Rattus norvegicus: one gene and its partners. The protein of the gene in region 1 interacts with the protein of each later gene in a pairwise test. Links are inferred from orthologs where the notes say so. Each region holds a gene or a part of one and is shown in the gene's direction. Other genes may lie near its edges. The genes, in order: Mapk3, Dcc and Dhps.

Region 1 (3,750 bases):
GGCACGCGCACGTGTGTGTGTGTGTGTGTGTGTGTGTGTGTGTGTGTATCTGTGTCTGTGTGTGTCTGTGTGTGTGTCTGTGTGTGTGTAAGAGAGAGAGAGAGAGAGAGAGAGAAACAGATTGTACATTTTAATTGATTTAGTTATCTTTGTTCACAGTTATCACCCTTTCCCTCCTTCTCATATGAAGTGGGCTGGGTTGCATGTCCTCCAGGCAATAACACTGGGTCTCAGAACACACCTGAGCCCACTGCAGGCCTGCCTCTTCACAGGAGCATACCTGACTTCACAGCTTTCTAGTGCTGCCTGCCATCCACCACCCTTCAGACTGCTTCCTCACTATAACACTTAGGATAAGCCCACCACCACCACAGGGGGGCCCAGCAAACGTGGGTACTTCCTACCAAGTCTGACAGCCCAAGTCGGATACCTAGGACCTGCACAGCAGAAGGAATCTGATATCCTCTGATCTCCACACAGGCTCTGTGACATACTCATGCCCCAACACACAAAATTAATAAATGTGGCAAATAAACGAATAAGAAATTATGGAATCTGGGCATTGTGATACAGTCTTTAATCCCAGCACAGGGGAGTTAGTATGCTGAGGCCAGCCTGGTCTACATAGTGGGTTCCAGGACAGCCAGTTCCATGTCAAGAGACCCTCTTAGAAAAAGGAAGAAAGAAAGAAAGGAAGGAAGGAAGGAAGGAAGGAAGGAAGGAAGGAAGGAAGAAACGAAGGAAGGAAGAGAAAAAAAGAAAAAAAAAGAGAGAGAGAAGATGGAAATGTGGCTCAGTGATAGGATTCTTGCCTAACATCCAGAATCTGCATGATGGCTCAGGCCTAAAGGTAGGAGGATGTGGCCAACCTCCACCACATAGAACCTTTGGGGCTGGCCTGGATTAATACTGTCTGCGTAAATGAAACAAAAAGTGAGAGGCAGGTCTCCAAAGTTTAGGGGTGGGTTCCCTCAGCATCACTCAGGGCCACTGGCCCCTGGGGCTGCAGTACTCTCTAGGCAGACTAAAGTACCCTAGTGGCCAAGGCAAGGAAGGAACAGCGTAACTAGGCGGGAAAGCCGGGCGCGCTCTCAGTAGACCACGTGACATCGCGGGCCCGCGCAGGCTCGCCGGGCAGGCGCGGGGGCGGGGCGCGCGGGGGCGGGGGCGGAGCCTGGCGCGCGGCCCCGCGGTGACAGGGCGGCAGGGAGGGGCGGGGCCGCGGGCGGGGCAGCGGGGGGAGGCGGGAGGAGTGGAGATGGCGGCGGCGGCGGCGGCTCCGGGGGGCGGGGGCGGGGAGCCCAGGGGAACTGCTGGGGTCGTCCCGGTGGTCCCCGGGGAGGTGGAGGTGGTGAAGGGGCAGCCATTCGACGTGGGCCCACGCTACACGCAGCTGCAGTACATCGGCGAGGGCGCGTACGGCATGGTCAGGTGAGGGGGTGTCCCAGGAGGGGGCTTCAGAGCGGGGACAGCAGGTGCGTGCCCGGGACATGGGGTCCGGGGAGTGTCGCAGGGGAGGGATCGTGCAGTGACTTCTGGGGGACCAGGAGCTACTTTCTCCGGGAAGGGGGGTTGGAGGCTTGGAAGCCACCTTGTATTGTTAAGGGAGGGGCACCTGGGGGACCCTAGAGATACAGGTGGAGCTAAGAGGATGACTATTCTTGGTGAAGGGGGAGTGAGAGACCCATAAGCAGGTAGTGGGAGCCTTGGTTCCCCCCTGATGAGGTTGTGACAGAGTTTGAGAGAGCAGAGCAAAGCTCAGGGTGGGGCAAACCTTTGCACCCCTGCCCCTGGCCTTGCCAGAGGCCCAAAGTAGGGAGGGGTCTCTAGAATGTGCCTTATTTTGTGGGATACAGGTTTGTGAGTTCTCGCTGCCCCACTCTGTGCTCTGGGCCTTTGTTCCTATGGGAACAGCTCTGACCCAGGAACCTCACCGGGAGACAGACCTACCCCTTCTTATCTCTTCCCCTGTCCCATTACTGAATCCTCTGGGTTTCATCCACTCTCTCCATTTAACTCCCATCCCCTGGACCTGTCTTGGATTGAGAGAGTCCAGCTCAGGAAAGGGGAGGAGGGTGAGGGCAACTACAATGTAAGAGGGTCCAGGAGAAAGGAAGTCAGTGAGTGGCCACTCTCTTCCTCTGTTTGTGAAGTCACTGAAAGGCTGCCTGGCTGGTCCCCAGCTTTCCCCCTGGAGATTCCAGGCCTTCACAGCAGGAAGGAGCCAGCATTGTTTACACTTGGCCAGAACCCTCTCCTGCTCTCTCCGGTCCCTGCCAAGGCCTGGGTGGGGCCACCAGGCCTGGATTCCCCCTTTGTAAGGCCACACATCTCTCTGGCTCTCTCAGCTCAGCATATGACCACGTGCGCAAGACCAGAGTGGCTATCAAGAAGATCAGCCCCTTCGAGCATCAAACCTACTGTCAGCGCACGCTGAGAGAAATCCAGATCTTGCTGCGATTCCGCCATGAGAATGTCATAGGCATCCGAGACATCCTCAGAGCACCCACCCTGGAAGCCATGAGAGATGTGTATCCTTTAGCCACAGCTCCAGAGCGAGGCTAAGGAGCTTGGCTTTGCTTTCTGTTGTCGTCTGTTGTGCCACCCTCAAAAAAAAAAAAAAAAAAAAAAACCAAAAAAAACCAAAAAACTTAAAAACCCAGCAAAGTAACTTTTTAGCTGAGAGTCTACGGAGCAGAAGAGCACCCTGGCAGGCCTTGGATCCTGGTCTGTTGCAGCCAAGTGGAGTGGCCTTGAACACATCCTTTTCTGCTCTGTGCCCCAGTATGGTGTGTGGGGAGGGGAGAATGCTGGGCAAACCATCTCTATGGGAGCTTTGTCTTCTGACATCTGCAGTTCTGTGACATGACCCAGTCTCTGCCCACAGCCCTTTCTTGCTCAACAGACTCACGATTCTTTAGAGACCTCACACTGGATTGAAAGCGAGGAAGAAAACCAGCATTGGGCATGCCTAGCGCTTTGGTTCTAATTCAACCTTTTAGCTTCCCTGTGTGATGAGCTTTACCGCGTCCATTTCTAAGATGAGGAAACTGAGGCTCTGTGTTTTGCTGGGCCTTCTGTGGGGGAGGGGCGATACTTTCTCCAACGTGGAGAGGGTGGAGGCTTTCACACCACCTTGCATTGTTAAGAGGAGGAACCTGAAGACCCTAGACTCACAGGGCGGAGCCACGCCTTTGCACTCCTGGTCTAGCCAGGGGCTCAAGGAAGGACGAGGGGCCCTGAGAGTCTGCCTATAGAAGAAAGCCTAAATTCAGCTGTTCCTGTTTGTTGCTTCCTCTTCTTCCCCAGTTGGCTTTCTTGGAGCCTTCCCACTCTTCTGAGAGCCCCACCCTGATTACCTGCGGCCTTGTACCTTGACCAGGAAAGGTAGTCCAGCCCTTGTTGCCCTTGCTTGACACTGCTTGCCTAGTTCAGACATTTAGTTCATTGTCCACATGTACTTCCTGCTTGGCGCCATTGCTAGTAGACTGTAGCACCCATGGCCTCTTCCCTACCCACCCCTCCCGATCCCAGGATTTGTTCTGCAGCCTCTGCAGCTCTGACCACAGGAAATCGACTACTCCTGTCTTGTTGCATGACCTTCAGCAGGTCTCTGCACCTCCGGACTTCCACATTTGTAAAGCGGCAGGGTTGGTCCATGTGTGTGTATCTGCATATGCTTGTTCTCTCTTCTTCTTTTTGAGAAAGGGTCTCCCTATGTAGACCAGGCTAGCCCTGAACTCATAGAGA
Region 2 (3,650 bases), on another chromosome or scaffold:
GAGCAAACCCTATGATCTCCTGAGAACTTGTCTAGGCCCTGGGTTTATCAATCAGTGTACTAATAAATACTATACTAAAATGCAGATAATGAGCTTAATCAAGTCCATGATATCTTAGCTATCACACTATTGACTGGTCAGACTTAAAATCTTCCAGTTTTATGTGGCAAATACTAATTACGGCTGTCTAAATTTTTCAAGTAATGAATGATGTAATAATATTCTTATCTATAGCTTATGAATTGTTACCTTTCCTAGTAATATTTTTGTGGCTAATTGCTTCATTAATCGGTGTTCACATAAGAATTTGTCTTATGTCTAACACAGAATCCCTGCTCTTAAATTTATCTATAATTAGAGGAAAAAACAAAACAAAACAAAAAAAAAACAAAACTGCTTTTCGAAAAATAAGACTTGTGATGAAATGTTGTAGAAATTGCGACTTCTCAGACTGCATGAATTTAGCTCCCTTCTCCTCTCTCCTTCCAGGTTTCCAAATTAAACCTTTCACGTCACTTCATTTTGTGTCTGAACCTTCTGATGCTGTCACAATGCGGGGAGGAAACGTCCTGCTCAACTGCTCTGCAGAGTCTGACCGCGGAGTCCCAGTCATCAAGTGGAAGAAAGATGGCCTTATCCTGGCCTTGGGAATGGATGACAGAAAGCAGCAACTTCCTAATGGGTCTCTGTTGATACAAAACATACTTCATTCCAGACACCATAAACCGGATGAAGGACTTTACCAATGCGAGGCATCCTTAGGAGACTCTGGCTCAATTATTAGTCGGACAGCAAAAGTTATGGTAGCAGGTATGTAGATATTTTCTTCTCTCCCACTTCTTTTATCTCTTAGATCCTTAGTAGGCATGAGAGATAATCCTTGTAAAAGCAGTGCGCATTTTGAAACTTAACTTTTTTAATTACAACAGTTACAATCTATAAGCTGAAATATGGTCATTCACAATTATATCAAGCTAAGTTTGCATACATTTTTGAGTAGTGAGAATATTTGAAATAACTCTTTGAGCAATGGCAAGGAACACATTACAATTATAAGTATGGTCACTATGCTGAATCATCAGTCTAGAATATATATGTTTTATTTTTTCAAATTGATACTCTGTACAGCTGTAACCCTCGGCCCCCATTCATACCTCACCCTTCTAATCCATGAAGCCTCTCCTGGTTATCATTCTGTGAGCTCAATAATTTAGATTCCACGGGTAAGTAAAAATATGCAGTATTTCTCTTTTTGTAACTTATTTTCCTTAACATAATATGTCCCAGGCTCAACAAGTTGTCTAAAGTAACAGCATTCTTCCTTTCTTTGGGTTGATGCAGTTCCATTGTTGATGTATCTCACGTCTGCTGATGGCCATGAAGGATAATTCTAAATGGGCACTGTAGCTACTCCTACAGGAAGCATGAGGTTACAGTCATCCGCTTGTCTCACTAACTTCATCCATAGGTGGTAACAAACCTGGTGACATTCTTCTTGTGCTGCATCTGTTTTTAGTTTTCTGAATAACATCCATGATGTCACATATAAGGTTTTCTACCAACAATGCCCATTTGTACGTGAACTAAATGAAGATTAAAGGACTGGTATCACAAGGTCTTCTTCTTTTTTTTAACTAATTTTTCTTTTTCAATTAACATGGAAAGCCGGCAGGTGCAGCTCAGCAGTGTGCATAGCTACATGTAATCTGCTTTCACAGCATAGCTGACTCATATGGACTCACTGCTTACATGAACTGGTGGACATATTTTAGTAAGATTTTAGAAAAAAATATACCCTAATCAATTCTATTTTACAGACTCAGTAGTGTTAAACATTCATAAAATCAATGCTGTAAGCCCTGACAGCAGTACATTTTATTTTAATCAGTGTCTTAGTCTGTAATGTAGACCTCAAGTGAGAAATAAAAATGTCCCATTAGTACTTTCAAGTGTAGCTCCCTTATTGACATGTCCAGCTCAATGCCAAAGCATAAGGTGCACACTTTACCTTTCATCTATGAACCTTAAATATATATCTAAATTAAGTAAACAGGGCAGGGTGTTCTTCAGACCCAAACTGTTGCTGTGTCTGCCCCAACTTTTCAGTTTTTCTAAGCATTTCTGGTCGCCTGGGAAGTACTAGATCCATGTGGAGAGGTATCAGATCATTGTTCTTATTAGTGCCTATAATGACTTGATCACTTCTTTATCTCATCTATATTAGTGACTATAATGACGTGACTGTGATCTGGCATTTGAATAGGTAGTGACTCCAAAAGGGGGCATATAGTGAGCTAAAACATGCTTCCTGACCTGTGGGAATAGCAAGTCAATGGGGTGATCCCTGGAAGGAGCAATCAGGGAACCAAATACTGCTGACTCTCTTATCTCGGAAGAGCAGCTTCTAAAACTGTGAGGAAGAATTCCTATCATAAGCAGGTGACTCAATTTATGATATTTTGCTATAGCAAACTAACATAGGCTCATCCCTAACCAGTTCCCTCAGATTTTCCCTCCGCTGATGTGTTCTGCTGGCTAATCGGCTATGAGCAGAATAATGGCTAGTCATTCGGATTTGCCACAGAATGACCTGGGTTAGACATTTGTAAGTCCCATATTCTTGAAAACCTTTCAGCAGTCAGACAAAACTTTGTCCATCATACTGGAGGATAATACTGCCTTGTTTAGTAATGACACCTAAGACAGTGCTTCTCAACCTTCCTCCTGGTGCAAACCTTTAACACAGTAACCTTTAACACAGTTCCTCATGTTTTGGTGATCGCCAAAATTAATAACTGTAACATTGCTACTGTTATGAATTGTATTGCAAATATATAATTTGTGGGATAGATGATCTGAGACACCTGTGAAAAAGTCAGTCCACCCAGAAAGGGTTACGACCCAAAGATTGAGAACCACTATCCTAAAGAGACAGGTGAGAAGATAGCCTGATCATGAAGACCAAGGTGTAAGTTTCCTGGACCTGGTGAAGGATGAGCTTGTAGAATTTCATAGATGTATATAACTCATGGGGAGGATGTGAATTTAATCATAACTGTCATTAATTAAGAGGCTCAGGTGGGATCAGTCCTGAGAAATCCGGAAAGGTTTCATATCTGGGGATAGGGATATGCATGCACCTGGACTTTCGGCAGCTTGTATATTTCTGGACTCGTGAATATTTCCTATCAACTCTCCAAAGGCCAAAGCCCCTCTGATGGTAGGAATGAAACCGGCTGTCATCTTGATGCCCTTACAAAAAGCAACTTTCTCTATCCTGCTAATGAAAATGCCCTGAATGTTACAAGGTGTGTCTCCTGCAACCCAGGTTCAGTTTTATGTTTTCACTGTTTCAGTCGTGAAGTGAGGAACAATTCCTTCCCTGTGAGATATTAAAATAAAGTGGCTTTGACTTTAGTATTCTGTGGAAGTGTAGGCTCAGGGATGTAGTCATTGAGGTGCAGTCTAATATTAGATTGTATCATTTCGGTGCAATAAGGCTCTTCACAGCATTTTAAATACTTGCCATGCTGTTCAGCAACACAGAATACATCAATGTTATGTCTGCTAGGGTTACGATTGCCAAACCACTAGAATTCACAAGGGCCATATATCTTCCTTGCAATAAAGACCATAGTCCTGATCTGATC
Region 3 (3,750 bases), on another chromosome or scaffold:
GCAGTGTGGCTACCTTCACGGAACCTGTTCCCTACAGCAGTAGGTGTCATCAGACTCTCACTTGGGATTCAAGTCCTTTTGCCCTCCTGCATACTACCCATTGCAGATCTCCCTGCAGCCAGATGTGGCATTTGGGCACTGCTAGCCTATAGAGGAGGTTAAACGAAGGGGAGACCTTTATCTGTGCATCTTTGGGGAAATAGTGTCTCTGATATTTTTATAACAGGAATTTTCTGGGTCTTCTGGCCTCAGTCAAAACATCATGTGTTTGGCAGTTTTCTCCAGTCACCTTTTCCCTCAGCTCTGGTTACCAATTCCTCCAACCCACCTTCACACTTAACAGAGTGTGTGTGTTTTCTAGGCCAGAGGACAACCTCAGATGTCACTCTCATTCACCTGGTCCCTAAACCTGTGTGTATGAGCTTGTGCACGCATGGCATGCTTGTGGAGGTCAGACAATAATGTAAACAGGTCCAGACTCTTCTATCATGGGCCTTTGGCTACTGAGCCATTCTTCAGGTCCCATCCCCAAGGATCTACTGGTCTCTGCTTACCCAGAGCTATTACTGGTATTGCCAACCCCCTACCCCTCTTGAGTTCTGGCAATTAAACACACATATTCAATCCACACTCTTGCTTTTTTGCAAAGCAAGGACTGTACAGACAGCTATTTCCCTAGCCATGCCCGTCCCTTTTGTTGAGAAAGGGTCTTGCTTTCAATAGTTCAGGCTGGCCTGGAACTCGAGATTCTTTTGCCTCCACCTCCTGATTGCTGGTTTAGCCACCTAATGGTTTCCTGTTCATCAGACTATAGTCATCAGGAGGGCAGAGTCCATTGCTAAATCGCAGCGCCCAGCAGAGAGCACTATTTCTAGTGTAGATTACACAAACTGTAGAATGAGGGTGCCCCTGTCCTAGGTTCAGTGTATCATTAAAGGGGACGCATGAGAAAAGATTCTCAACAAACTTCTTTCGGCAAAAAGATGGTGGTCATCCCTGTCTCCCCAGAGGCCTATGATCCAGTGAAAATTGAACTATGGTTGTAGGGGGAAAAGAAGTTTGTAGCGACTCGAGGAAGCACCGAAAGAAAACACTCCCATTTGACAAAAGTCTGCAACTAACTTGTCCAAGGGCTCCGTCCTAGAAACAATCACCTCGCTCATGGGGGGACAAGAATATTTGGACAGACAGTTTGCAAATCAGGCACTTTTATCTACTTGAAGCTGAATCTGCCTACAAGGAATAACAAACAGCTCCTGGACCACATGTACGGAACACGGGAATAAAATGGCTGCTACCAGGCCCGCAGGCGCTGCCAGGGCCATGTGACTCAAGTAGCTTCCGGTACCCCTCCCCCGCCCCCGAGTCGCATTTCCTGGGCTCCGGCGGACCAAGCTGAAGGATTTGGCGGGTTCCAGGGCACCGAGACTGCTGTGACCAGAGAACGGCCGAGAGCGCATGGAGGGGACCCCGTCGGGGGCGGCGCCCTCCTCGGCGCTGGCCGCTGTGCTCAAGCACAGCTCAGCGTTGCCGCCCGAGAGCGCCCAGGTCCAAGGTTACGACTTCAACCGCGGGGTAGATTACCACGCGCTTCTGGAAGCCTACGGCACCACCGGCTTCCAGGCCACCAACTTCGGGCGCGCGGTGCAGCAAGTCAACGCCATGGTGAGGCGCCGGGCGACCCGGGTGGGAGGCGGGGCCGCTCCGTCCGCGTGAGTGCCGGGGAGAGGCGGAGTCCTGGTTAACTAGTGTTCCGCGATGGGAGGAGCTTGGGGTTAAAATCAAAACGGGCTTGTAGGAGGAGCTTAACGCTGGGAGAGCCCTGGATTCGCTTTTCCCACTGGAAGGAGTCCTGAAGAGAAGACACTGTGTTGTTCTTAAAAGGGAACAAACCCCAAGTGACAGACCAGGACCTGGAATGGGAGGGTTAGGGTCTGCACAGGGGTTGTGCTTTGGTTTTGTAGTAGTCTCCCTGAGTGCAATCAACGTCTGGAATCCAATTCATGTGGGGTTCCTCCACTGAGGTTTGGAGTTTTAGTGCAACTTTACTGTGCCCCTATGCCCAGATTGAGAAGAAGCTGGAACCACTGGCAGTAGATGAAGATCATCACGAAGACCTGACTCAGAGCCGCCGCCCACTCACAGGCTGCACCATTTTCTTGGGCTATACGTCCAACCTCATCAGTTCTGGCATCCGGGAGACCATTCGCTACCTCGTGCAGCACAATATGGTGGGTCCACGTTAGATCAGTGGCCCCAGCCTCTCTGGGCCAGTAGACAAAAGGGTTATTGTTCATTTAAGAAACATGAAGAGGCTCAGAGATTAAGAGTATTTGCTGTTCTGTGAAAGATTTGGGTTTGGTTTCCAGCAACCACCTGGTGACTCACAACCATCTGTAATGGGGTCTTCTGTGTGTCTGAAGAGAGGGAGAGTGTATTCACATACATAAAATAAATCTTAAAGGGTGTGAGGAAATGGAGTATTGCTTTTAGACATACTGGCAGTTTCTTCCTTCCTTCCTTCCTTCCTTCCTTCCTTCCTTCCTTCCTTCCTTCCTTTGTATATGAGCACACTGTTACTGTCTTCATGTACACCAGAAGAGAGCATCAGATCCCATTACAGATGGTTGTGAGCCACCATGTGGTTGCTGGGAATTGAACTCAGGACCTCTGGAAGAGCAGTCAGTGCTCTTAACTGCTGAGCCATCTCTCTAGACCCATACTGGCAGTTCTTAGACTTCAGCCTCCTTTCTGAGTGCTGGGATCACAAGAGTGTGCCACGTTTTCTGGGTCTGCTTTAGGCTTGAGTTGGTTTTGTCATAGAGCTCATGCTTTGGGTCTGGATGAGCTCAGGCCAATGTTAGGGGCACTACTTTGAAGAAGGGTCTGTGTTGTTGCTGGTGACCACAGGTGGATGTACTGGTGACCACTGCTGGAGGGGTGGAAGAAGATCTCATCAAGTGCCTGGCACCCACATATCTGGGCGAGTTCAGCCTCAGGGGGAAGGAGCTCCGGGAGAATGGGATCAACAGGTGAGGCTCTGAGTAGTGGTAGGAGCAGGGAAGCCGCGTTGAGGGTCCCAGTGTCTGATGCCCTCATGGATCCCATTTCTAGGATCGGGAACCTGCTGGTGCCAAATGACAATTATTGCAAGTTTGAGGACTGGCTCATGCCCATCCTAGACCAGATGGTGCAGGAGCAGAATACAGAGGTAGGGCTGGAAGGGCTCAGGTGGACCTGCATAGTTGAGTCAGAAGACATGGGCTAATACTGATATTCTCCCCCTTGTTAGGGTGTGAAGTGGACACCTTCCAAGATGATCTCCCGGCTTGGGAAGGAGATCAACAACCCAGAGTCTGTGTATTATTGGGCCCATAAGGTGGGTTGGGTGGGGACAGTATTCTTGGGGACAGTACTTAGGCTTTGACTTGCAATGACTTGTTTGACTTAGTAGCCACCTAAAAGTCTCAGTAATCATTCTTGGTCTTCCCAGAGTTAGACGAGGAATGTCGAACAGAGAGGCTAGGCGTCACTTGACTGCAGGGTTCTCCTAGCTATGCCCCTACACTCCTGGGACTCGGTGTAGTGCTTTAGAAGTCGGTGGGGCCTGACCCAGGGTACCATGTGCCCAGGGACAGTGCAGCTCAAGAGTCTGGACAATAAGACACTGCTCAGTGTGCCAGTACCTTCTTCAAGCCATGTGTGGTTTTTCCTCACGTCTGCATCCACATGCAAAGCAGAGGGTCATGT

The links.
Region 2: the proteins of Mapk3 (region 1) and Dcc interact in a two-hybrid assay, tested with the Homo sapiens proteins (2 studies listed by BioGRID). The link is inferred for Rattus norvegicus from reciprocal best matches to the Homo sapiens genes MAPK3 and DCC.
Region 3: the proteins of Mapk3 (region 1) and Dhps interact in binary tests that used the Homo sapiens proteins (3 or more experiments, as listed by UniProt). The link is inferred for Rattus norvegicus from reciprocal best matches to the Homo sapiens genes MAPK3 and DHPS.

What each region holds. Positions count from the first base shown.
Region 1 is NC_086019.1:190,795,970-190,799,719, forward strand, and holds the start of Mapk3 (mitogen-activated protein kinase 3), read left to right. Parts: upstream 1-1,224; 5' UTR 1,225-1,258; coding exon 1,259-1,431; intron 1,432-2,348; coding exon 2,349-2,531; intron 2,532-3,750.
Region 2 is NC_086036.1:67,845,596-67,849,245, reverse strand, and holds part of Dcc (netrin receptor DCC precursor), read left to right. Parts: intron 1-489; coding exon 490-810; intron 811-3,650. UniProt on the Homo sapiens protein: Receptor for netrin required for axon guidance. Mediates axon attraction of neuronal growth cones in the developing nervous system upon ligand binding. Its association with UNC5 proteins may trigger signaling for axon repulsion.
Region 3 is NC_086037.1:39,989,053-39,992,802, reverse strand, and holds the start of Dhps (deoxyhypusine synthase), read left to right. Parts: upstream 1-1,384; 5' UTR 1,385-1,458; coding exon 1,459-1,665; intron 1,666-2,066; coding exon 2,067-2,231; intron 2,232-2,910; coding exon 2,911-3,032; intron 3,033-3,114; coding exon 3,115-3,211; intron 3,212-3,292; coding exon 3,293-3,379; intron 3,380-3,750. UniProt on the Homo sapiens protein: Catalyzes the NAD-dependent oxidative cleavage of spermidine and the subsequent transfer of the butylamine moiety of spermidine to the epsilon-amino group of a critical lysine residue of the eIF-5A precursor protein to form the intermediate deoxyhypusine residue.